Linked DNA regions of Caenorhabditis elegans. Changing the gene in region 2 together with the main gene of any one other region gives a genetic interaction. Each region holds a gene or a part of one and is shown on either strand. Other genes may lie near its edges.

Evidence for each region.
Region 1: changes in glp-1 (region 2) and kin-19 together harm fitness more than expected from each alone (negative genetic interaction), as found in Caenorhabditis elegans (one large-scale study listed by BioGRID).
Region 3: changes in glp-1 (region 2) and gsk-3 together harm fitness more than expected from each alone (negative genetic interaction), as found in Caenorhabditis elegans (one large-scale study listed by BioGRID).
Region 4: changes in glp-1 (region 2) and prx-5 together harm fitness more than expected from each alone (negative genetic interaction), as found in Caenorhabditis elegans (one large-scale study listed by BioGRID).

Annotation. Positions count from the first base shown.
Region 1 is NC_003281.10:4,083,493-4,088,181, reverse strand, and holds kin-19 (Casein kinase I), read left to right. Parts: upstream 1-1,545; 5' UTR 1,546-1,611; intron 1,612-1,676; 5' UTR 1,677-1,693; coding exon 1,694-1,843; intron 1,844-1,901; coding exon 1,902-1,981; intron 1,982-2,055; coding exon 2,056-2,155; intron 2,156-2,435; coding exon 2,436-2,590; intron 2,591-2,640; coding exon 2,641-2,754; intron 2,755-2,795; coding exon 2,796-2,910; intron 2,911-2,962; coding exon 2,963-3,118; intron 3,119-3,236; coding exon 3,237-3,392; 3' UTR 3,393-4,179; downstream 4,180-4,689.
Region 2 is NC_003281.10:9,090,665-9,098,271, reverse strand, and holds the start of glp-1 (glp-1/Notch intracellular domain), read right to left. Parts: upstream 6,032-7,607; 5' UTR 5,960-6,031; coding exon 5,820-5,959; intron 4,960-5,819; coding exon 4,844-4,959; intron 4,204-4,843; coding exon 4,141-4,203; intron 3,622-4,140; coding exon 2,713-3,621; intron 2,413-2,712; coding exon 2,172-2,412; intron 1,867-2,171; coding exon 1,131-1,866; intron 724-1,130; coding exon 251-723; intron 201-250; coding exon 1-200. UniProt on the Caenorhabditis elegans protein: Essential signaling protein which has a major role in germline and embryonic development; involved in cell fate decisions that require cell-cell interactions. Probable membrane-bound receptor for putative ligands lag-2 and apx-1.
Region 3 is NC_003279.8:12,817,396-12,825,226, forward strand, and holds the start of gsk-3 (Glycogen synthase kinase-3), read left to right. Parts: upstream 1-1,820; 5' UTR 1,821-1,966; coding exon 1,967-2,059; intron 2,060-3,139; coding exon 3,140-3,408; intron 3,409-4,254; coding exon 4,255-4,831; intron 4,832-6,723; exon of another isoform or gene 6,724-6,777; intron 6,778-7,120; coding exon 7,121-7,270; 3' UTR 7,271-7,831.
Region 4 is NC_003280.10:8,702,877-8,707,277, forward strand, and holds prx-5 (TPR_REGION domain-containing protein), read left to right. Parts: upstream 1-1,947; 5' UTR 1,948-1,948; coding exon 1,949-2,048; intron 2,049-2,097; coding exon 2,098-2,282; intron 2,283-2,330; coding exon 2,331-2,675; intron 2,676-2,723; coding exon 2,724-2,954; intron 2,955-3,099; coding exon 3,100-3,189; intron 3,190-3,241; coding exon 3,242-3,705; intron 3,706-3,751; coding exon 3,752-3,845; 3' UTR 3,846-3,884; downstream 3,885-4,401. Other genes in the region: Homeobox protein ceh-7, read right to left, coding at 492-548, 756-953.

The DNA.
Region 1 (4,689 bases), 5.0 Mb from region 2:
TAATTTATCAAAAAATCGACAACTGTCTCTCGTGTTGGGTGTAAACTTTTATTTTGAAAACCGGTTTTTTGTTCGATCCGACAAAGGAATTATTTTTTGGGAAAAGGGCAAGAATTGAGTTTTCAAAAGCTGATTTCAACCTTTACCAGTGTTTTTTCCGAAATTGCTCTTAAAATTTGTTTTTTCTCGTTATTTTGTTAATCCACCAGCGTTCTCCCCATTTTCCACGTGATATTTCTCATTTAATCGAACAAAGTGACTCGTCTCGTTCATAAAAACGTAAAAATGTTCGAGGCGAGACGAAAAAGAGTGAAAGAAAACCGAGGAAAATGGGCGAAACTGATGCAAAATGCGAGAGAACGAGAGAAAACGACGAGTCGAATTTGAATTAGCGCGCAACCGCGACGCAATGAACACTGCGTCGCGGTCGGCCTTCCCGGTTGTGTGACTGACGAAATCGGTGCCCGACACCCTTTTCGCCCCGTTTCTTCATCGATTTCTGCTCGTTTTTCGACGTTTTTCGTGTTTTCGGCTGGGAATTATTTGATAATTGTGATAAAGTGGTCGGTATATCTAATATTTGGTTTGAAATTGAAGAAAAACGGCTAAAAGTGAGCAAATAAAGGCTGTCTTGTGAGTTGGATTAGGTGGCAAGTGAGTCATTACTGACGTTTTCAGACGGGGATTTCTAATGTTTAATAATTTTAATGAACTTTTTGGACGATTATCACAAGATTTCAAAGCGTGCACTTCGTTTTAGTGCAAGAAAGCCGAGAAATTTAGGATTTTAGCCATTTTCGATCGCTTTTTTTAAATTTTAATTGTTAACGCTCACTTTTTGATCGATTTTTGTATTAATGGCTCTTAATATTCGCAATTTATTCGTTTTACAATTTAATGTGAGAACAGGAGTAAAGAATTAGCAGTGATTATTAGCCTGCAGCTTGAAAAGCTTGTCCTTCGCGCACGTTTGTCAGTCTTGGTTTCTGAAGTATTACTTAAATGTACATGCGTACTTTCTATGTTTGAATAAAGTGTAGTCAGCTAGATTTTCAAGTTTTGAAGTTTTCAGCTATCGATTTTCCAATTTAGCTCAATTTGTTTTCACCTGAAACAATTTATTTTTCTCCTTTCTTCTCGATTCTTTCTTTTCAAGTTGTCTGTTTTTATTTAAAAAAAATAAGCAGCACTTCTTTCAAATCCGCAATTTTATGTCGTCTAACGTAGATTATCCTAGATTTTCGGAATATTTATGAGGAAAGTTTTTTGATATCACGAATACCTTTTTTTGTTTTCTAATGGAATGCTAAATTCAATTGGTAGTCGATGAAAAATCCTGAATCTTTCATTTTCTTTCAATTTATGTTCTGTCAGAAATTCGATGAACTACCGGGCTCTCAATAAAAAAAAGGTGTTGTTTACCCAATCCAATCGATTTTTGTCGCCAATTCGTTTACAATATCGTATTTCATCATTTCTGTTCCATTCTCAACCGCGTACCGTTTTCGTTTCTCTATTTTCCGTTCAAAAATAGCATATTTTCAGGTAGAGCTCCTCTTTCTTGAACCACCAGGTGCCCTCGTGCACTCAATTCGTGTTCTGCTATCAAAGGTATCGATTTTTACCATTTTTTGTTTAGTTTTAGTCAGTCACGATAGTGAATCATGAATTTTCAGCACGATCAGAGCAAACAATGGCAGGTGTGATGTCAGTTAAGGACTTCATCGTTGCGACAAAATACAAGCTCATACGAAAAATCGGATCAGGATCATTCGGTGACATTTATGTATCGATCAACGTGACGAACGGCGAGGAGGTGGCCATTAAGCTGGAAAGCAATCGGGTTAGTTTGAGCAGCTTCCATATTCTTTTTCGAATAATCATTCATTATCGATTTTTAGGCGAGGCACCCGCAGTTGCTGTACGAGTCCAAAGTGTATCGTATCCTACAGGGAGGAGTCGGAATTCCACATATCAGATGGTAACCTTTTTCTATAAAAAAGACCTAGGAACATATTTACCGCGTCTAAATTGTTCTAAAACTTGTAATTTCAGGTACGGAACCGAGCGAGAGTACAATGTGCTTGTCATGGATCTTCTCGGTCCTTCATTGGAAGATCTCTTCAATTTCTGCTCCAGAAGATTTACCATGAAGGTCAGTGGTGACGAGTAGCTTAAAATGAGTTTCAGCAGCGGATTCCTCTGCTTCACCGCGCAATTACTTCACGTGAATATTTCAATTTCAAGAATTACTTTGAAATTCGCACATGAAACGTATTAATGATCATTGTTGCCAATGTGTTAGAGTATTGGTCATAGAAATAGAGTTCTCAGAGTTCAGAGTAAATAAATAATAAACGATTTCGAAAATGAGTGCATCCTTCTCACAAATTTTCATTATTAAAGAAGTTTCCATCAAGATAATTTTTTTTCAGACTGTTCTCATGCTGGCTGACCAGATGATCGGACGTATCGAATATGTGCATGTCAAGAACTTTATTCATCGTGACATAAAGCCAGACAACTTCTTGATGGGAATAGGACGTCACTGCAACAAGCTCTTCTTGATCGACTTCGGATTGGCCAAAAAGTAATCACTCACTATCATAGTTTAACAAATATTCATCAAATTATTTTCAGATACCGTGATTCACGCACCAGAACTCATATTCCATACAGAGAGGACAAGAACTTGACCGGTACCGCCAGATACGCATCCATCAACGCCCACTTGGGAATTGAGCAGTCGAGAAGGTATTTTAGATTTTTTTTAAATTTAAAATTTACTGTTTCAGAGATGACATGGAATCCCTTGGATACGTTTTGATGTACTTCAACCGTGGAACTCTTCCATGGCAAGGATTGAAGGCCGCCACGAAAAAGCAAAAGTATGAGAAGATTTCTGAGAAGGTTTGTGGTGTGATCCTGTCATTTTATCGATTTTTCAACTTAATGTTTTCAGAAAATGACGACATCAGTCGAGCACTTGTGCAAAGGATTCCCAGCTGAGTTCCCAATGTACTTGAGCTACACAAGAGGACTTCGTTTCGATGAATCTCCAGATTACATGTACTTGCGGCAACTGTTCAGAATTCTCTTCAGAACGCTCAATCATCAGGTTCGTGTTAAAACAATTACAATTACAGAAAACCTTTTCAAACATAATTAATACTTGAATGAATATTTTAAAAAAAGCAACATTGTTTAAGAAAATATAATAAAATGCATATTTACAGTACGACTACACATTCGACTGGACAATGCTCAAACAAAAGGCTCAACAATCGCAATCCAGTGGCGTCCCCGGAACCAACACTACTACACAGGGAGCTACCGTTCCATCAGCTGGAGTTCCAGCTGGAGTTGCACCAGGAGGAACTACTCCACAGTAAGACGTTTTGTTGCCGTCCTGAGGCTTTTTAATCCAAAAAAGCCCATGTTAAATCATGTACTATCCTTTCTTTCGTCTCTCTACTCTTTTCATTTTTTTCCCCTCTACTATTTTTGTCTTTTCTTGGGCTAACATGCCTCTTTAACTGTGTGCTGAAAATTGTGGAATGTTTTGTTGTATTTTATCTTTTAACCAATTTTTTAACTAAAGATGAATACTCTCTACTTTTCGCAGTTTCAGCACTTTTATTTGTCGTTTTATAAATAGTCTCATCATCTTCTCCTACTCTCTTTTATTTCCTTCTTTTCCATTTTAGTAGGATTTTTATTCCCCCATTTTTCGAATCGTTTTGACCTTTTTTTCTTGAATGCCTCCCTATCAACATACCAATATATTTTTCTCTCTATTCCCCCCTACCATTTTTCCCTTTCCTTTCTTCGTAATGATGAAAATGTCCCAATGTCGGGCACTCAAAAATTAAAAAAAATACTGAAAAAGTCAAGTGGCCGAACATGTTTTTGGGTATAACCGGCTCACCTTGACACACCCACCCCCTCTCTTTTGGCTCCAAATGCCTCTCAATACCCTCCCATAACTTCCCCACCCAGAAATCAGAGCCCCACTCCGTTCTTTTTTGTGTGTAATCAATAAATTGTCGTAATTCTCATCACATTGTTTTTTGCGACCTTTTCTGAAAACGACCAGAAAAGATGCGCTTGAGTCTCTCACATCTGCTGCTGTCGAATTTTTTTCCGTTTAAACTTTAAAATGAACAAGTTCATCATTTTAGAAAATTTGTTTTGTTTTCAAACTTTTCAGGAATTTAGTTTTTAAAAAATTAATGCTATTTCCCGTAACACCCTTTTGAACTTTCCTACCCTAAAAATATGTCTATATAAACTTCCAAAAAATACAAAACTTCACATATCGGATAGTTCAATCGATCGCCAACAATTCGATGGCACAAAAGCCCAATGGGCCTCCAAAAGAAGACACTTGGGCATGACATCCCGATCTCTGGACTTTCATGGAATAATGGAGGAGTTGTTGAATGCTCGACAAGGATCCTGAACTGACGACAAAAAACCAATTGGAAGGATAAATTTAAGTGCTCCAATATGTTGGAGCATCCAAGGTAAGCTCTTTCAGCAGATAATTAAAACTTTTCAGGAAAAACGGAATTTTCCGAGAAATTCGAAAGAACACAAGCTCGACGAATATAAATATCATTTCATGTTTTAAGACGAATAAATTTAAAAAATAAAGAAGAATAAGAAATTGAATAAAAATTGATTGAA
Region 2 (7,607 bases):
AATCTCTTGCATTCACATCGGCTCCAGCCTTCAAGCATCGAATTGCCTCTGTTGTAATGACATCTTCCGGTTTTCCTCTGACATTGGCAGCAAGCCAGTGCAGAACTCGTCGTCTATACTTTGAATCCACTTGATTGACTGACTCATTTGTGATTGGAGCTGTAATCGCATCTGGTCCTGCAGCTTGAACATGGAGAGGGCTGAAAGAAACATAACAATAATTATAATAAAACTATAAAGATTCACTCACATTTCGTCGGCTGGTAGATCAGCTGGTGCGAACGTCTCAGATTGAAAGTCAAAGTTCAATTCGTTGTAATCACCGGGATATCCATTTGCGAGAGTTTGTGGATAAATCTGTGAATATTGTTCTCCATTGTAGCCGGTACTATAATCGCTACAGTGTCTCTTGGTATTGGGGTGATAGTAGGCAGAATTGTCAAGAAGAGAGCACTGACTCGAATGATTTGACTGATTCCGACGACCTTTCTCGTTCGTTGATTCCATCGGAGGCATCCAGACTGTTGCGTTCACCATTTTTCTTTTTCTACTTCTTTCTGGACCATTCTTTGCGATAACACCAGCGACAACAGTTCCAAAAGCCAAAAATGCAATACATGCAAACAGAATAACTTGACTGCGAGACCATCCTTCATCGATTTCGTTTCTCTTTGGAACAGCTACCATTGCTTCCGTAATTGGGAGACCCAGAGACATACGACCCTGAAAATGTTTTAATTATTATTTTCCATAACTCAAACAATTAAAGGTTCACCGCTTTTTGGCTCGAAATATACTATAAAATTTTTCTAATTTTTAAAAATTATATTTGGTCATTTTATCACCATAAAAATAGATTTTAAGCCCCACCAGTGCTGGGACTTTTTGATATTTTGACGAAAAATTGTTTTTTTGGTTTTGGATTCAAAAACTAATTTTCTGTACTTCAAACATTTTTTTATGTTTTACAAATATTTTTAGCAAAACGCGGATGATTTTCTTCTAAAAAGTGAAAAGTGAACCGGAAATCTACCTTTTTGGATTTTTCACAAATTTAATTTTTTTTGTTATTTCGGTCCAAATTATTTTGTTTCCAGCCCGGTGCCGTACTCCACATAAAAATAACTTACATCAGACTTCACAAGTCCAGCAGCAATCAAATCAACGACACTTTGCGCTGTTGAAAATCGGCAAAACTCGGGTTTACATATTTCTTCGACTTCCAAATACAAGACAATTCCAGTGACAACAGCTTGCCGATACCTGCGAACGTGATGCGAAAGTACAAATTGATCTTCGAGCTTGCTACTATTCATCTCAACTCTTTCCATTTCATGTTCACCATCCCATCTGAATACAAGAGGTCCAAGTTCATCCCGTTGAATACGTACGGTTGCTCGAAGATTTGCACTGATTTGCATTAGTGTTTCTCCTCCGGTAGCTTGGAATTCAATAGGATCAATTTGAACTTTTATACGAATATCACTGAGGATTATTGCTTCTGTTCCGTTATTGCAATCTCCACCGTCAAAACCACATCCAATGAAACTGCATTCTAAATTACAAACTCCATCGCCTCGTCTTTCAATACAATGTTTCCGAATATGAGCTGGGCATCGAAATAACTCTGATTGACAGTCCAATCCATCGTAAAGACATTCTTCATTATTGCATTCCTGATTACAGACTCCATTTGCGAATTGATCAGCACATCTTGCAGGGTATTGACATTTGGAGAATGGTCTTTGCCCTCCTGAGCAATCACCTCCATCAAAATTACATTCTTCCAAATTGCATTCCGGGTTGCAAATACCATTGGAAGCAAGATCCATACACTTTCGTTGCTCGCATAGATCACGAATGACACTGAAATGTTCACATTTAATACCTTGAATACAAATTTTGAAGGAATTTTATCTTCATCGTCATTATACTCCAAGTGGCTCAAAAAAATAATTCCAAATAAATCATGGCAGTTCAAATCTTGGAAAAAGACAGCCTTATTTTAGCTAAAGAAATTTTATTTAACACCTTCCCCGTGTCACACAAACCGAAGCTGGCAAAATTAGAGATTTGAGCTAAAATTAGGTATTTATTTCATTGAAACCGCTTTTTACTTCAATAAATTATTTTTCTGGGCTGCATTCTTTATAGTATCCAAGAAAACTAACGTCTCTTTTGATTTCTCGATAACTAGAACTTCTTCACAAGTGGGTCCAGTGTATCCATATTGGCATTCGCAATATCCAGTATTCTTACAAACTCCTCCGTTCTTGCATGGATGTCTGGAGCATAACTGTCTATCCTTTATTTCGCAGTAATCTCCAGAGAATCCGTTGGGGCAGTTACATCTGATAACGCCATTCACACCTTCACAAGTACCTCCGTTAGCACATGTAGTTGGAGTGCACACTGAAGTTTGTTGATATTAAGAATGCTGCCTAGTAATCTTGAGCTAAAAATACGGTATCAGGTCTCGCCACGACAAAAATTTTGTTAAATGCGAAAAAATGTGCGCTCCTAAAGAGTACTGTAGTTTAAAAACTCTCCTTGCTCCGGGATTGCCATTGATTTTTCAAAATTTAAGTCTGTGTAGTCTATGTAGATTTGATGTTAAAAAGCTGAAAAATTGATGAAAATTTCACCGTTTGAAACTACAGTACTCTTTAAAGGCGCGTTTGTCGTATATAAAAATAAAATTTTCGAACTTACACAAATGTTGCTCGCAGTTCAATCCATAGAATCCAAGCGGACAATGACATGAATATCCACTGTTTTTGAGATCGATACAAGTCGCATTATTCACACACGGATTGTATTTGCATGACTGAATATCTGGGAACTTGAAATCTTTCCTATTAATCTCACATCGATCTCCAATATAATCAGGTTCACAGACACAGAAACCATTTATACATCTTCCATCGTTGTAACACGTTCCATTGCTCCGAGAGCAGTGTGGTCTCTGTAGTGGAAGATCACAATGAATTCCCCCGAATCCTGAAGGACACTCAATCTCACATCGTTGTCCAGTGAATCCTTGTTCGCAATAACAAATTGGCATCTGATTCGAGTCATGGGCACAGTATCCATCATTTTGGCAAACGTAATCCTTGCACATGTCGATAGCCTCCTCGCAATACTTTCCAGCGTATCCAGGTTTACAGGTACAAGTAAAATCACCGTGCAAATTGAAACATGTAGAGTTGTTAACACACGTTTCTTCGATGAGGCATTCGTTTTTATCCTTATTGCAAAATTCTCCCTCGTATCCCGAGTCGCATACACATCTGAAGTTCTTGTCTTCATCTCTGTTCGGAATACATCTTCCATGATTGCAAATGTTTCCCATCAAAGCACATTCAGTTCGTTCACAATATCGACCGGATTTTCCAATTGGGCAATCACAGTAATAGTTGTATACACTATTGACACACGTTGAACCTTCTGCGCATTCATTTTGAGCACAATGATCGATTCCTTCTTCACAATACGATCCTCCATATCCATTGTTGCATATGCACTGAAATCCACCATAGAATGGATAGCAGAGTCCGTTGTTGCAAGGATCCGAATCGCATGGATTTACTCCCGAAAATAGAGGAGTTTTGCAGTCAGGACCTGAAAATATTAATGTATTAATCACGGATAGGCCTTTGTCTTCTTTTTAAAAAAAGTGGAATTTAAATTCAAATTCCGGCGGAAGTTTGTTTTTCCTAATAGCCATTCACACCTCATTACCCCCAACCGCCGATTATTTCCTTTGAGATGAGAAAGGTGTCAATCTCATTACGGTAAAATAGAGAAAAAGAACACGCAATATTTTGATTTATTTGAGATCAAATCGGTTCCGACAACAGATGGAAAAAGTTATCACAGTGGGAGACTTGGATCTCGCGCATTTCTTATTAGAATATGTTAAATTAAATTAAATATATTTAATTTATTTTTTACTATATTTTTTAAAATCTGATAATTTCATTGGTCCTTTGTGTTTTCGAAAAATATAAAATTGAAAAAAAAACAATTTTGCAACTTTTTAAAAATTAAAATAGCTGTCAATTGTTGCTCAAAACAACAATAATTGTGATACAAAGTCATTGACTATTAGTAATCATACATTATCCAAACTTTACTCACCTCCATAGCCTTCTTCACAGCCTTTTTGAGTACGTTCTGTTGGAGGAGTCTCGTCTTCGCAATCTGAATAATAAAACTTATAAATATTTTCTCATGGCTGTCTGTGTAACAACATCTGCTTGATTTATACTACTGCCCCCGCGCAATGAAACCGAACATTTGCAATAAATCGCATGACAAAGGCGATGAAGATGTGCGAATATGACCTAGTAGAAGCTATCTATCACTAGCGGTCATTTTGAGAGCGTAGAAATGAAAAATAGGATACCACGAATGCGGTACAATTTGTCAATGTTGGGATCTCCCGGGAGAATTATTATACGTATGGTCGCGTGTTTTCCCTAATAAGTTTTCGAAATTTTGATATATCCTGAAACAAAAAATTGCGTACAAGTCGGGCACAATCAAAGAAAAATACACTCGCAGTGTGATGATGGATGATGTGGTGAAAAAGATTGCCGCTATGAAAAAGGGCAGATGAAGAAAAAGGTGGAAGTAAAACATGGAACAAAATTTTGAATTTGAAACGTTTAAAATCTTAAAATGATTGATTAGAATACACTTGAATCGAGATAAAGTATTTATCAAACTATGCAAAAAGGCGATAATTTGATTTAAAGATTTGAGAAGTCCCATTATGAAAATAGGTCGTTTCGGGCAAAATATTATGATATTTAACAGATTTTAGGATTCACAAAATTACCTTGACAGATACACGTCGGATTTTCACCATAAACATCGTAGATGCACTTCTCGCCTCGTTTACAATCCAAATCGCATTCACGTTCACAGAAAGCACCTCCGAATCCTTTTTTGCAACTGTAAATTTGATTAAATTATTTTTAAACTGAAAAGTAATTCAATTGAGACAATTTATGACTGTGGGCCAGTGGTGGGTGACAATCAATAAATTACAGTATTTTTAATCAAAAATCGTGGCAAAATATATCGATTTACTTGAAAATAACAATTTTTCAGCTGATATATTCGTGAAAGTGATCAGAAAACAAATCTCGATAATTCACTCAACAACTTTCAGACAATTTTGGACCATTTTCTCACATTTTTAAGCTGAAATAAGTGTTATTTTCAGATAAATCGAGCGATTTTATGTATTTTAGAGCATCATGGCGCAATTTTCCTATCGATAAATACGTTGATACTCTCTGTATAACTAATCAAACGAGCTAGATAGTAATAAGAAAAGACAAGATTAAAGAACCGACACGCTAATCCAATTGTTTTATGAACGTCCATATAAATTCGCCGACAACCCTGGGAAGATGGCTGTAAACGGCTGTAAATTTTGCCTTTGGAACTCAAAGTTATTGATAAGAAAAATGAATTGTTTGTAGAGAAAAGGGAAAACTAAATAACAATTTTTTAGATTTCCCGAACGATTTACGAGATTTTACATTGTGACAGCCTCCTGCTGTTCATTGTGTTCCCATTCTGCAAGCCGGGTGGCGTTTAATGATGTCTTAGAGGGAAATATGGACAGTGATAATTCAACTTTCGGATATTATTCAAAATGTTCTCTACACCAAGCTTTTGTTTATCTATCGCCTGTTTCCCACCACCACCACCTGCCCAAACTTTCTTTTTTTTGTTCTTTTCGTCACGGTTCATGAGAAAGCGGATGAATAACATTGACATGGGAGAATGAAATATATGCTTACCGGCACCAGTATGTCTCAATCAGTTTTCCATTATAGCATTTTCCATTGACGGAGCAAGCACCTTCCCTTCCGCATTCTCCACCCATAAGTTGACTGGCGATTGGCGCAAAAAACGCGAGTAAAATTAGAAGAACTCGCATTGTTGTGTTCGCTGTTCGAGATTCTGTTATTATTAGTTGTTAGAGCAGCTCTTGGTGTTATTGTACATGAATCTGAAAGAAAATATGAATTAAATCAAGAGATGCGGTTAAGCGAAAAAAAAGAACACTTCAGCATTATCACAAAAGTACAAAAAAAGAACGGAGAACAGGAAAAAAACGAAAATGGAGAAGACAAGGAGCGACGAATGAAGGCCGGGTGGCATACTCCGCCCATTTTCTGAGTGTGTTGCGATTGTCTTGACACCTGAGATGGGCGGTCCAAAAAGAAGGATAACAGTACTTTTTTCGAATAGGAACACTAGAAAAAGAACTGTTAGGATAAATCGGAAAACTCATTGATTACATTATTTTATTGCCTATCCGACAGCTGCATGTTGGTTGCGAAATGTGGAGAAAACAACCAATTTATGGCCTTTCAATTGATCATTCCCGTGAAGAAGAAGTGGGGAAAACGATTTACATAAGAAAGTGAACGAAAAACTTTGTTAGAACGATAAACGGAGATTTGTTTGCAATGATTTACTTGGAACCTATTTTACGCCGTTTTCAAGCGATGAATATTCCGAAAATAATGTGATGGAGCTAAATAAACTTATTACGATCTCATTTAAAATATTAGAAATACAGAAAAATGTTCTTATCGTGTCAAAAAAAGAAAAAAAAACAAAGAAAATCATTTTAAAACTCAAAATAAATTTTGGCGCCGTGCACAGCTCGGAAGTCCGCAATTGACGACCGTACCCCTTCGCTTACCGTAGTTCTGATATTTGCTTATCTTTTTTAAATATTATTCTCAAAAACACACACAAAACTTATCTGAAGATTAAAAATACGAAAAACTGTATTCATGTTTGAATAGAAAAAAATCTACAGTATGTCTGTAAACATTATTTCAATATTCAGTCAATTCTGGAATAAACAAATTTGCTCTGCTTCTGGAAATGTTTATACAAAGAAAAAGCGTTATTGTCGGCATACAATACGGAATATAAAGGAAAACGGAAAAAGAAAACCGAAGTGCTAAATCGATAGTGATCACATAGGCGGTTTCAGAATAATCCACGTTTTCGTGCAGCAAGTCGTCCATTGTTCTCGAATTTGAACCTTCCTAAATCAGTCCGTGTTCTAATTTCCCGTACCTGGCCACATATGAACACAAATTATATTGGTAGAACATATGGAAACAAGGTACACGTGTAGTTATTGTCCGATAAAATGATAGTTTTATGACTCATAGGAAATTTGAATCTAGGAAGATTCCACGCAAAACTGTTGGTCAGATGCAATTTTTCACGATTTTTCGAAAAGATGTGCGCCTTTATGGAGTACAGTAATCCATTTCGCAATTTTCTTTGAGTTTTTCACTATATTTCTCTCGTTCACAAAGATTTTGATGGATTATATTAAATTTCTCGTTTTTGGGAGAAAAAAGTAAAAATCAAAGGCAATTTCAAAAAAAAAACCGGAAAATGGTTACTGTGCTTCTTAAAGGCGCACACCTTTCCGTCAATTTAAAATATTATGTTCGTGGCGAGATACGGGGCATACCGTATTTCTGCGTGGGAAATTGCAAAATTTTGTCAAAAAAAAATTTCTTCCAAAATAAGTTGAAAACTCTCACTGGACC
Region 3 (7,831 bases), on a different chromosome or scaffold from region 2:
GAAAATAGAAACCATGGGAACATTGAATATGCTTATTTCCACATTGATAGCGCATTTCTTCTTCTTCTTTTTTCTTTTTCATTTCCTTTTTCTTCTCCATCTCACCATATTTTTGCCCATTTCCTCCATCAGACACGCGCTCGCGCTCACTCGCTCACCACACTCAATTTTAGCTGTTTTTCCTTCTTTTCCACCCCCTCATATTGACTGACACATATATATTATATATATATATATATATAAAGATACATATATGCAAATTGATGTTCGGCAAATTGACATTGTGCAATTTGCCGAACATGAAAATTTCCGGCAAACTGGCAAACCGGCAGTTTCCCGGAAAACAATTTTCCGAACGACAATTGCCAGTTTTCCGGTATATATATTTATATATTCCCTATTACGATCAATATAGAATCCTGTTTAGCCAAAATCTTTTTTGATTTTTCCCAAGGAACAACATTTTAAAAAAATACGTACCTTTTTATTGCCACGAAATTTAATTGGAAAAAATCAATTTTGAAATAAAATGTATTTTTGTATTTATATAAAAAGCAATTCTATTTATTTTTAAAACGTGTTGGATTAGTTTTTTAAAATAAAAAAAACAACACCGAAATTTAGTCATTTTTCGTTCAATCGTTAGTGAGAAGCGGTGAGTTTTGGCGATTTTGAGCATTTTCCGTTGAAAATATGAGTAATTTCCTATTAAACTGGTTATTTCGATCGCGCTAGTGAAATTTCTTGAAATTGTGTAGCAAAATGGGCTTACATGCTATTTTAAGATGAGCAATTGAAGCATTTTATTTTGATTCAGTCAGAATTTTGAAATACTTACGAAAATAGCAATTATATCAATTCCAAATCAAAAAATATGGTACTTATGGGTTTCGTTCCCCCCAAAATGATTTCCATATTTTCTAATTGATACGTGAACTTTTTTTTCATTCCCAGGCTTAGGGAAATGATTTTCTAAGCCTTGTAAAAATGAAAACAGTATTAAAATAAACAATAACGTGTGGATTAAAATTAAAAAGGTAGTGTTGAATAATTAAAAATCATTTTGGGGGGAACGAAACCCATAAGTACCAAAAATATAGTTTCTTCTAGAAATATATTTTTTATTGCCGCTAAATTTAGAAAAATTCAATTTCGAATGAATATGTATTTATTTATTTTGAAAAAAACGTACATTAAAACGTGTCGGATTAGATTTTACTTCCCTTTTTTTAATTTTAAAATTCAAAAAATTCATTTCTATATTTAAAAATTTGGCAGTTTTGGCGTTTCCCTTTTATTACAGTGAGTTAGCCAACTTTTTCGAGCTAATAACATTACATTAAGCTTTAGAAAAAACTTTAGAAGTTTTGAGAAATACTACTTTTAAAACTTCGATTTTTTCAATTTTTGGCTAAATTCTATTCTAGTTTGAATATCCTCCAAAATGAGAGCTCCCCTACGACTATTTTGGATTTTTTGAAGCGAATCCTAAAAAAATGGGCTGAAAATGCCAAAAATCGTCTAATTTCCAGTAAAGTTTTTTGGCGAAATCCATATTTAACAGCTCTTTAATAGTCCTACAAATTCGACAAATTGCCGATTCGTCGGAAATTGGCCGGTTTACCGATTTGCCAGAAAAAGTCGTTTGCCGCCCACCCCTGTTCCCACTTTGGCTAGGAATTCCTAAAAGTTTATCGAATTTTGAAATGTTACTCCATTTCACCTCATATTTGCCTTAAATATCACCCATTTTTATACGTTTCCTCGTATTTTTCAAACCCAACGCCCAAATGAAATATTTTATTATTTTTTATTTTCAGGTGAATAGCCTCATTCTCTCCGTTTTCCCTCTCAAAAAACCACATCATATCCTCATCATCTAATCTCTGGCTCTTCTCATTTATTGGACAGAGCTCATATATACACACACACACACAAGAATCAAATCAATCAGTAGTGTGGTGTGATGAATAAGCAGTTACTATCGTGCTCGCTGAAAAGCGGAAAACAAGTGACGATGGTCGTCGCGTCAGTCGCCACGGATGGTGTTGATCAGCAGGTTGGTTTTGAGTGAGGAAATTTTAATTTTCTCGGAGAAATTTGGATGAAAAGAAGTTGGATATCAGAGGTGGGCGGGTATTTTTTTCGGATATTTTCTAATAATGAATTTATCAATAAGTATTGATGTAGTTATTCTGGAAAAAATGTATCCGAACAAAAGAGTAACTATTAAGCAACATTTTAATATGATAAAACCTAAAAAAATTCTACAAGTTTTCTGTATAAACGATATGCAAGTCCATTATCCGATATCCGTAATATCCGTAATATCCGATTGCTTAATAGTTACTCTTTTGTTCGGATACATTTCTTCCAGAATAACTACATCAATACTTATTGATAAATTCATTATTAGAAAATATCCGAAAAAATATCCGCCCACCTCTGGTGGAAATGCATGAAAATGAGGATTTTCACAAAAAAAAACTCTTTGGAAGTGATACAAATATATTTTTCGATATTTAGTACAACACAATAAATGAGTTATTACGTGTTTATCCACAGATAAGAAAAATCGCCATATCTGCCGCGCAAATGAACCCGCGGGAAGAGACAAAACTACTGTAGTTTTTAACCAATTTGTGTAGATTTACGAGCTATTGCGTCATCGTTGAATTTAATTTTGAGCCGCAATTTTTAATTTTCAGGCGTGTTTCACTCTTTTTTATATTGAAATTTATCTATTTATTGAATAAATCTTAAAAGAAAACACAAAAAAATTAGAAAAACGCCTGCAAATTAAATTCAACGATGACGCAATAGCTCGTAAATCTACACAAATTGGTTAAAAACTACAGTAGTTTTATCTCTTCCCGCGGGTTCATTTGCGCGGCAGATATGGCGATTTTTCTCATCTGTGGATAAACACGTAATAAATAGGTTGACAAAATTGTTCTCCTTTTCCTCGTGGAGTACACGATTTTACTCAAGCACTTAAAATATCAATTTCTTCAAAAAAAAAAAAAGGAAATTTGCTGGAAAACTAGCTGATAAAATGTGAAAAAATTATTATTAAAAAATCTCCAAACGAAAAAAAACACTGTAATTCAAATTTTAATTAAAAAAAAATGTATTGTAGGTTGAAATCTCGTACTACGATCAGAAAGTGATTGGAAATGGATCATTCGGAGTGGTATTCCTTGCCAAACTCTCTACAACAAATGAAATGGTTGCAATCAAGAAAGTTCTTCAGGACAAACGATTCAAGAATCGTGAACTACAGATTATGCGAAAATTGAATCATCCAAATATCGTGAAGCTCAAATACTTTTTCTATTCGAGCGGCGAGAAGAAGGATGAACTCTACTTGAATTTGATTCTCGAATATGTTCCTGAAACTGTCTACAGGTTATTTTTATTAGGATTTTTAAAAATTTCTGGAAAATTTCAGTTTTTAGCGGAATTTTTTTGTTCAAAAATAAAGAGAATTTCTTATTTAAAAATTGAAAAAAAAAATTTTTTTGGAAATTTTTAAATAAAAATTGCGAATTTCTTTTTTAAAGATATTTTTAAAAATTTTGAAAAACAATAGTAGAAATTCAATAAAAAGCTGAATTTTTATGTTTTTTTTTGTGAAAAACTGTTTAAAAATGATGTTAATGTAAATTTTTAAAGGAAATAATCAAAAAATGCCTGATTTTTTTAACCTTTTTTGTTAATTTCTGACAAAAATTCATGGAAATTTGATTTTCCGTCGATTTTGTGAAATTTTGGTTCGAAAATTGAATTTTTTCGCTAAATTTTGATTTTTTAAGATAAAAATTGATTTTTCCCGAATTCCAGCGCTACAGGGCGATTTCAAGCAGATTTCTTTGCAACATTTTTGACTAAAATGCACTATTTCACGAATTTCCTCCTGAAATTTATGTAAAAAGCTATTTAAAAGTTCAAAAATGCGTTCCAAACGTATAGAAAGGCTACAAACTACATGGCTGATAGCTTGGAATTTAGAAAATACGATTTTAAAACAAAAAAACTTGAAATTTTGCAAAATTCTTTACAAAATTGAAAATATTCTATTTTTTTATAATTTTGAATTTTCAAGTTGAAAACCTAGAAATTTTTTTTTGACAATTTTTGACTAAAATTTATGGAAAAAATTATGTAAAAATTGAAAAAATTTAGAAAAATCGATTTTTAAACAAAAAAACTTGATGTTTTGCGAAATTTATTTGAAATTTTTAATTTTTGCAGAGTTGCCCGGCACTATTCGAAGCAGCGACAACAAATTCCAATGATTTATGTCAAATTGTACATGTATCAGCTTCTCCGTTCATTGGCCTACATTCATAGCATTGGAATCTGTCACCGTGACATTAAGCCTCAGAATTTGCTCATTGACCCGGAAAGCGGAGTGCTTAAGCTCTGTGATTTTGGATCTGCCAAATATTTGGTTCGCAATGAGCCAAACGTCTCGTACATTTGCTCGCGATATTATCGTGCTCCGGAGCTCATTTTCGGCGCTACAAACTACACGAACTCGATTGACGTTTGGTCGGCTGGAACTGTAATGGCAGAGCTTCTTCTCGGCCAACCAATTTTCCCTGGTGACTCTGGAGTTGATCAACTCGTTGAAATTATTAAAGTTCTTGGAACACCGACTCGTGAACAAATTCAAAGTATGAATCCGAACTACAAGGAATTCAAATTTCCACAGATAAAGGCACATCCATGGAATAAGGTATTCCGTGTACACACGCCTGCTGAAGCGATTGATCTCATTTCGAAGATTATCGAGTATACGCCGACGTCTCGGCCAACACCTCAAGCGGTGAGTTTTTTGGGGGTTTTTGTAGAAAAAAGGCCGAAAAATGAATTAAAAATGTTTTCCCAACACTAAATTGCTGAAAATCGACTCTTTTTTCAACTAAAAACCTTTTAAATTGAAAAAAATTGATTTTTTGTCATTGAAAACTTGAGAAAATTGCCCAAAAGTTTAAAAAATACTGCGAAATTCAGGAATTTTAATCATTTTGGCTATTTTACAATTTTATGAGAAAAATCTCTAAAAATTAATGGAAGTTTGAATTTTTCGACTTTTTATCGAGATAATTAAAATGGCGAAAATTGCACAAAAAATGTCAAAAACTGATTTCCGGTAGTTTTTAACGTTTAAAAACACTTGAAAATGGAAAAACAAAACTTATATTAAAATTGTGTCAAAAAATTATTGAAATTGTCTAAAAATGGACTTTTTTTTTGTTTTTCGGTTTTGAAAGCGAATGTTCTGTAATTTTATTCTCAAAAAATGCGAATTTTTGCTCACAAAAGTTATTATGGAACACAAAATCCTTAAAAAAACATATTCGATGCGCAAAATATATCGTAGCGAAAACTACAGTAACCTTTTAAAGGACTACTGTAGCGCTGCGCTTGTGTCGATTTACGGGCTCGATTTTTATTCTGCATTTATTAATCAAAAAATGAGACAATAATACGAAGAAACGAAGGAAAATATAGAATAGATTCATATCGAAAATCAATCCCGTAAATCGCCACACGGAGCTATAGTACCCATTTAAAGGGTTACTGTAGTTTTCGCAATGAGATATTTTGCGCGTCAATTATGATGTGTAATACGCATTCTTCTCAGAATTTTCGGTTCCCGTAATATGAATGAAAAAAAAAGAGAAAGTTGAGTGTGATTTTTGAGACATTAGACAGTTGACTGAAAATTTATTTAAAAAATTTCGGCCATTCGGTCAGCTTATTTTTCCTCCATTTTGAAAATTGCAGATTTTGCAGATTTTCGATCGCTCAAAAAAAAAGCAGCCAGTTTGAAACGAAATTCAATGATTTTATCTGTATTTTTCCAAAAAAAAGTATCTTCATTGTTCACAAATTCGATCGCCCCCTCACAAAACCGCTTAGAAAGTCCACCCCGTTCGTTGGTTGCTTTTGAAAATCGCCTTAATATCTATCGTTGAAATCTTTGTTTCCTCATTGTAATTCTCCCATAGATCAAGCCATTTCCCGGTTTTTTTTCTTAGATTTCTCAAATTGGCACGAATATGGAAGATATTTATGGAAGCAGATGGGAGCATTAGATTTTTACACAAAAAAAATTGCAGAATTTTGGCTTTTTTTTCCAATTTTTGGAAAAAGATAACTTGTGAAACCGTGGTTTTTAATTTTGAAAAAAAAGCTATAAATTCAAAGTTAGTGAAATCTGAAATAGACATAAAAATTGAAAATCCCACTGAAATTTCAACTTGAATTTAACAAAATTTCAGCTAAAACTTGGAAAGAAATGTTTCTTGGAATTTTTATAGAACTCGCTGACAAGCAGTGAGCAGTAAAAAACTCGGCTCACAATTTATCCGTACTTTTATTTTTTGAAACTAGTAACTAAATGTCAACTGCAAGAATATTAGAGGCCATACTACAAATGAGATTTCCAGAAAATTATGATGTTCTCGTAATTTTAAAGATGGAGACATTTACGTGGTATGATGGTTGAAAATTAGAAAATTGGCTTGAAAACACTTTTAAATTTAGAAAAACCACAAAAAACGAGCAAAATCGAGAAAAATGAACAATTCAACTTTCGAAAACACGATTTTCCCTATTGTGACTAACTAGTATATTTTAAATTTCCATTTTGAATTTCCTCCAAAACGAGAACTTCCCGACCAATCAGCGATTCGTCCTGCCCACTTTTCAACCAATCAGATGAAGTGGGCGGAGTTCGATGTCGTTGATTGATCGATTGGGGAGTTTGCATTTTGGAGGGAATTGTCTGCGTTTTGATCTACAAAAAATGCGGGAATTTTTTCCCAGAAAAATTGTAACGTCTGCACGCTTTTAACCATGTGAAATCAGTTGAGATGTTTGCGTCTCATCTCCCGCATTTTTCGTAGATCAAATCAAAATGGGACTTTCTGACTCCACGTGGATTCAAACATGGGGAATTTGGAACTCACAATGGACAAAAATATCGATTTTGCTCGTTTTTCTGAATTTGAGACTGTATTTTGAAATTTTTGAGAGACAAAATCGCCCCCAATTCACGCTACTTTAACAATTCAACCAATATATATATGTTTTTCGTCTTTTTCAGGCCTGCCAGCACGCATTCTTTGATGAGCTCCGAAACCCGGATGCACGTCTTCCATCTGGTCGACCTCTTCCAACACTTGAGATGGACGGTCCAATGGGAACTGGTGAAGTTTCAACGACAAGCGGTGATGTGGCTGGCCCATCGGCTTAAACTTCTTTTTTTTATTTTAATATTGGTTCTGAATTTTCTCTCGAATGTTTCTTTTTTTTTCATTTTCCGTGGGATTTTTCTTTTCCATTGATTTTATACATCCATCCTCTCCTCTCTCTCTGTCTCTCTCTCTCTCCATACCTATCATCATTAAGAAAAAAATTATTATTTTTTCTTTTGAGCCCTCCCCCCCCCACCCCCCTCCATCGCCCGTATCGTCTCCATAGCAACTGTGTTGTAGAAGCATTTCCCCCCAACTCGATTGTCTGCTGCTCTTCTTTTATTTTATTTTATTGTCCCCTCAAGCTTTTTTGTCTCGAAAAACTTGAATTTTTACTCTTTTTTTTTTACCCCACCTGGCTCCCCCCTGGATTTTTCTGTGAAAATTTGGCTAAAAATTAGGTTTTCAAGGTTCCTGAAATTTTGGCTGAAAATTGGGTTTTAGGCCAAAAATTTTGGGTTTTTTAAACCTTTGGCCTAATTTTTGAGGCCCAATTTTTTAGGACTTCATCTAGGCCCAAAGGCCTGAAAAAATCCGCGACTTCTGTACATTTCCTCCCC
Region 4 (4,401 bases), on a different chromosome or scaffold from region 2:
ACTAGATGTGTTCTTTTCAAAGGTAAACTGTGAAAATAAAAGTTGCGCCGTGTGCACAAACCTATATGCTTTTCAATCTATACGTTCTCAAGTCTCCCATAACTTTATGCTTTTTTGCAAGTTTTGGCCAGTTTTTCCAATTAAAATGCACTAGATGATTTTTTAAACAATATGAGTTTATTATTTTTTAAGAAAGAATTGGCTGCTTCTAATCAATGCAAAACATACAAAAAAGAGAAAAATCAAACATCACAACTCATTTATGTAGTGTACTCCCCATGACTCGCCTACCAACTTGACTGTTTGTCCAAGAAATCGACAATTTGTCAGGTTAAAAGACAATGGGTTAATGTCTGGAAAAGTGTCAGATGATCAGGAATTTGCTCTCGAGGAGTTTTCAAAACCGTAAAGCGATGTTTTCAATGTTGGAAATAGTGGTTCTAACTACAAAATTTATTTCAGTGAAATGAAATTAAATAAATATTTGACTATTATTTATTGGCTTCTCTTCTCATCCGGATTCGACGATTTTGGAACCAAATCTTCACCTGTAATGTGCTACGTCTCGGAAAATTATTGAATGATAACAACTGATTTAAAAATTTTTTATTTTTTTCCTAGATTGATCTAATCACATCTTTACAACATACAATCGGATATGTTAGACTTAACGTAGAAGTTGCTGGAGCTCAGCCTGGTGGATAAATTTCGCAAACAATTTTAATAGAGAATAGATTTCTAAAAACAATAGAAACCTGATATTCATCTAGACTCAAAATCCTTGCCAATCTTTCCCTTTCATCACATCCAACATACTGACTTTGTGCAAAATACATTTCGAGTAAATATAGTTGTTCCACTGTAAATGTGGTTCTTCTACGTGGAATTCTGGAGGTTGAAGCTTCTGGTCTAACCATCATCAGTAAGAATGTAAAGACCATTTCGTGTTTCATATTTATGCCGTCAATTGTCAGTACAAGGGGCCGCCCGTTTTCGTTTCGTTTCGTTTAAATTATAGGGAATACATTATAAAATCACACCTTTTGTGTATATCTTCGTAGTTTTATTGGACATTTTAATAGGCCTTGTTTATAAAAGAAAATATAATAATGATGACATTATACAAAAAAGTATTCAAGGAATGTTTTATAGTTACAAAACCTATAGGTATACAGAATATGTCAAAATAGGGGAAAAAACTGAATGTATGCAGTCGACGAATAAGGTTGTCTTGACATTTTTTTGGTTAATAATGTTTTTCCTGCCAGTTTCGATATCTTTGAAATTTTGATCCAGATGACATCAATCCTAGCTATGGAATAATGGGGGAACTCTCTTTAAATTCACAACTTCATTCGAGCAAAATTTGTCTTTTGCACACGAAAAATTATTATTATTATTGCACAATCAAATATTTTTCCCCCGTGCAAGTGTGCAATGGGGCGACGGGTCGAGCCAGAAACCCGTGTTGTTGAAAATCAAACCAAGTGCAAAATATCCATTTTGCTTAATTTAAAACGATCTAGGATAACTCCACTAGCAACTAGAATATCTAATTGAAGGATTGAAATTTGGAAACTTACAATAAGGTATTCTATTTTATTACGTTTTCAATCTTGCTAGGAAAACTTGGAAAAAAAATCCATAAACGTTTCCCGGTTATTTCAGAAATCGATAGTCGACCTCCGTTGTTCCTTATCTAAATTTCATCAATTGTATCCTTTTTGATAAGACAATACTATCTTTTTATCACTACGTCTCCTTCACTCTAAATCCTAATGTAGTATCAATCAATTTGATGAAAAGACTACACTGGGGCCCACTTATTTTCTTTTTCAATCAAAATTCACACTTTATTTTATATATTTCTTGTAAATTGTATTTTTCTTCATTTTTAATTCTACTTTTTTTCAACAATTAACTCTCGAATTCTTCAATTTTTTACAGAATGAAAGGAGTTGTAGAAGGACAATGTGGACAGCAGAATGCTCTTGTCGGGTTAGCTAACACATTTGGAACATCCAATCAAAGAGTCGCTCCGAGTAATGGTAAGCTGGAAATATTCAAGTAAAAATTAACAAAAAAAAAAGTTTTTAGCTGCAGCTTCTCTTCTCCCATCTTCTTCTATGGGAGAACAAATGGCTAATGAATTTTTAAGACAACAAGCGAGAACAATGGCTCCAACAAGTTTCAGCATGAAGTCGATGCAGAATAATTTACCACAGGCATCAGCATCCTCAAGTTTGGCAGCAAATTGGACAAAGGAGTTTCAACCGCGACAGGTATTTCTAATGCATTCATATATTGGTATTTTCAATTGATTGCTTCAGAACCAGTTAGCGAGTCAATGGAGTCAACAATACACATCTAGTGCTCCAAGCATGGAATCTGCATGGCGTCAAGTTCAAGCTCCATCAATGACATCCACGTCATCACATCAACCAATAACAGATGCTGGTATGTGGTCATCTGAATATCTGGATACTGTGGATACTTCTTTAACCAAATCTTCTGGGACTCAAAACTGGGCTGATGATTTTATGGAGCAACAAGATAATTATGGAATGGAAAACACTTGGAAAGATGCACAGGCTTTTGAACAGAGATGGGAGGAAATTAAGAGAGATATGGAAAAGGACGAATCTCTTCAAAGTCCTGAAAACTATGTTTATCAGGTAAGATTTTTGTCTTCTTTAACACATTTTTATAACCCTCCTATTCAGGAAGCAAACCCTTTCACAACCATGTCAGATCCACTGATGGAAGGAGACAATCTAATGAGAAATGGAGATATTGGAAATGCCATGCTTGCCTATGAAGCAGCAGTTCAAAAAGATCCTCAGGATGCACGTGCCTGGTGTAAATTAGGATTGGCTCATGCTGAAAATGAAAAAGATCAGTTAGCAATGCAAGCGTTCCAAAAATGTTTGCAGATTGACGCTGGAAACAAGGAGGTAAAATTTGAGAAAAATATTTGATTATTTGATGCCATAAAATAGATAGGTCGCGATAAAATTCATATCTGTCTCTTAAAACTTTTTAAGAACAGAAATTAAGAAAAAAAAAAAAAAACTTCCAATAAAATCAAAATTATTTCAGGCACTTCTTGGTTTGTCTGTCAGTCAAGCGAACGAAGGAATGGAAAATGAAGCTTTACATCAATTGGATAAATGGATGTCTTCTTACTTGGTATTTCTTATTTTTATTTCAAGAATAATCCCACACGAATAAATATTTTAAGGGTTCAAACTCGACTCAAGTGACAACCACACCTCCACTCTACTCTTCATTTCTGGACAGTGACACTTTTAATCGAGTTGAGGCTAGATTCTTGGATGCTGCTCGGCAACAAGGAGCAACTCCAGATCCAGATCTTCAAAATGCTCTCGGAGTTTTATACAACTTGAATCGCAATTTTGCAAGAGCTGTCGACTCTCTCAAGTTGGCGATCTCCAAAAATCCAACTGATGCTCGTCTCTGGAATCGTCTTGGTGCTACGTTAGCCAATGGTGACCACACAGCTGAAGCCATTTCAGCATATCGAGAAGCTTTGAAATTGTATCCAACATATGTCAGAGCAAGATACAATTTGGGAATATCTTGTATGCAATTATCATCTTATGATGAAGCTTTGAAACATTTTTTATCTGCATTAGAATTGCAAAAAGGAGGAAATGATGCATCTGGTATTTGGACAACTATGAGGTTAGTTTATAGCTTTATATGTTAAAATCACCTTCACAAATTTCAGATCAGCAGCAATCCGAACATCGAATGTCCCTGACAATTTACTGAGAGCAGTGGAAAGACGAGATTTGGCAGCTGTAAAAGCCTCTCTAGTCTAGAATAATTACAATTTAAATACTAAAATAAATAATTATTTTTCCTCGAATTTTTTTACTTGGTTTTCAAACTTTCATTTTGAAAATCTCAATTTCAAGCCGATCACGAGTTTGGAAGGGTCATAAAATGTTATTACAGCGGTAAGAAAGCAGGAAGTAAACCGACCTAGCACAAAAAGTGTTCAGCTCATTTTGTTTTGTTTGTAGAACTCACATTGTTAGAGCTCAATGAAATGATTGAATAATGCCTAAATTAAAATAACATTCTTCAAGACTTCTAGACACTAAGTAATCAAATCCTATCATTTCTCTTACGGTGAATTTCTACAAAATGCTCAGAAATTCCACATGAGTCACCGTTCCATGAGTAAAACCTCGGAACATATGACTGATTCTATTTATTATCATCTTTCCGCCACCCTCTTCCAAACGTCTCACTCTTTTCTATTTGCCGGTCATCGAACACATTCTTCCTTTTCTCTTTCTGTCTTTGAAGCACATGACATGGCCATTTATCATGAAAAGGTACAGCTGGTTGAAGAAGAAGAAGATCCGAGAG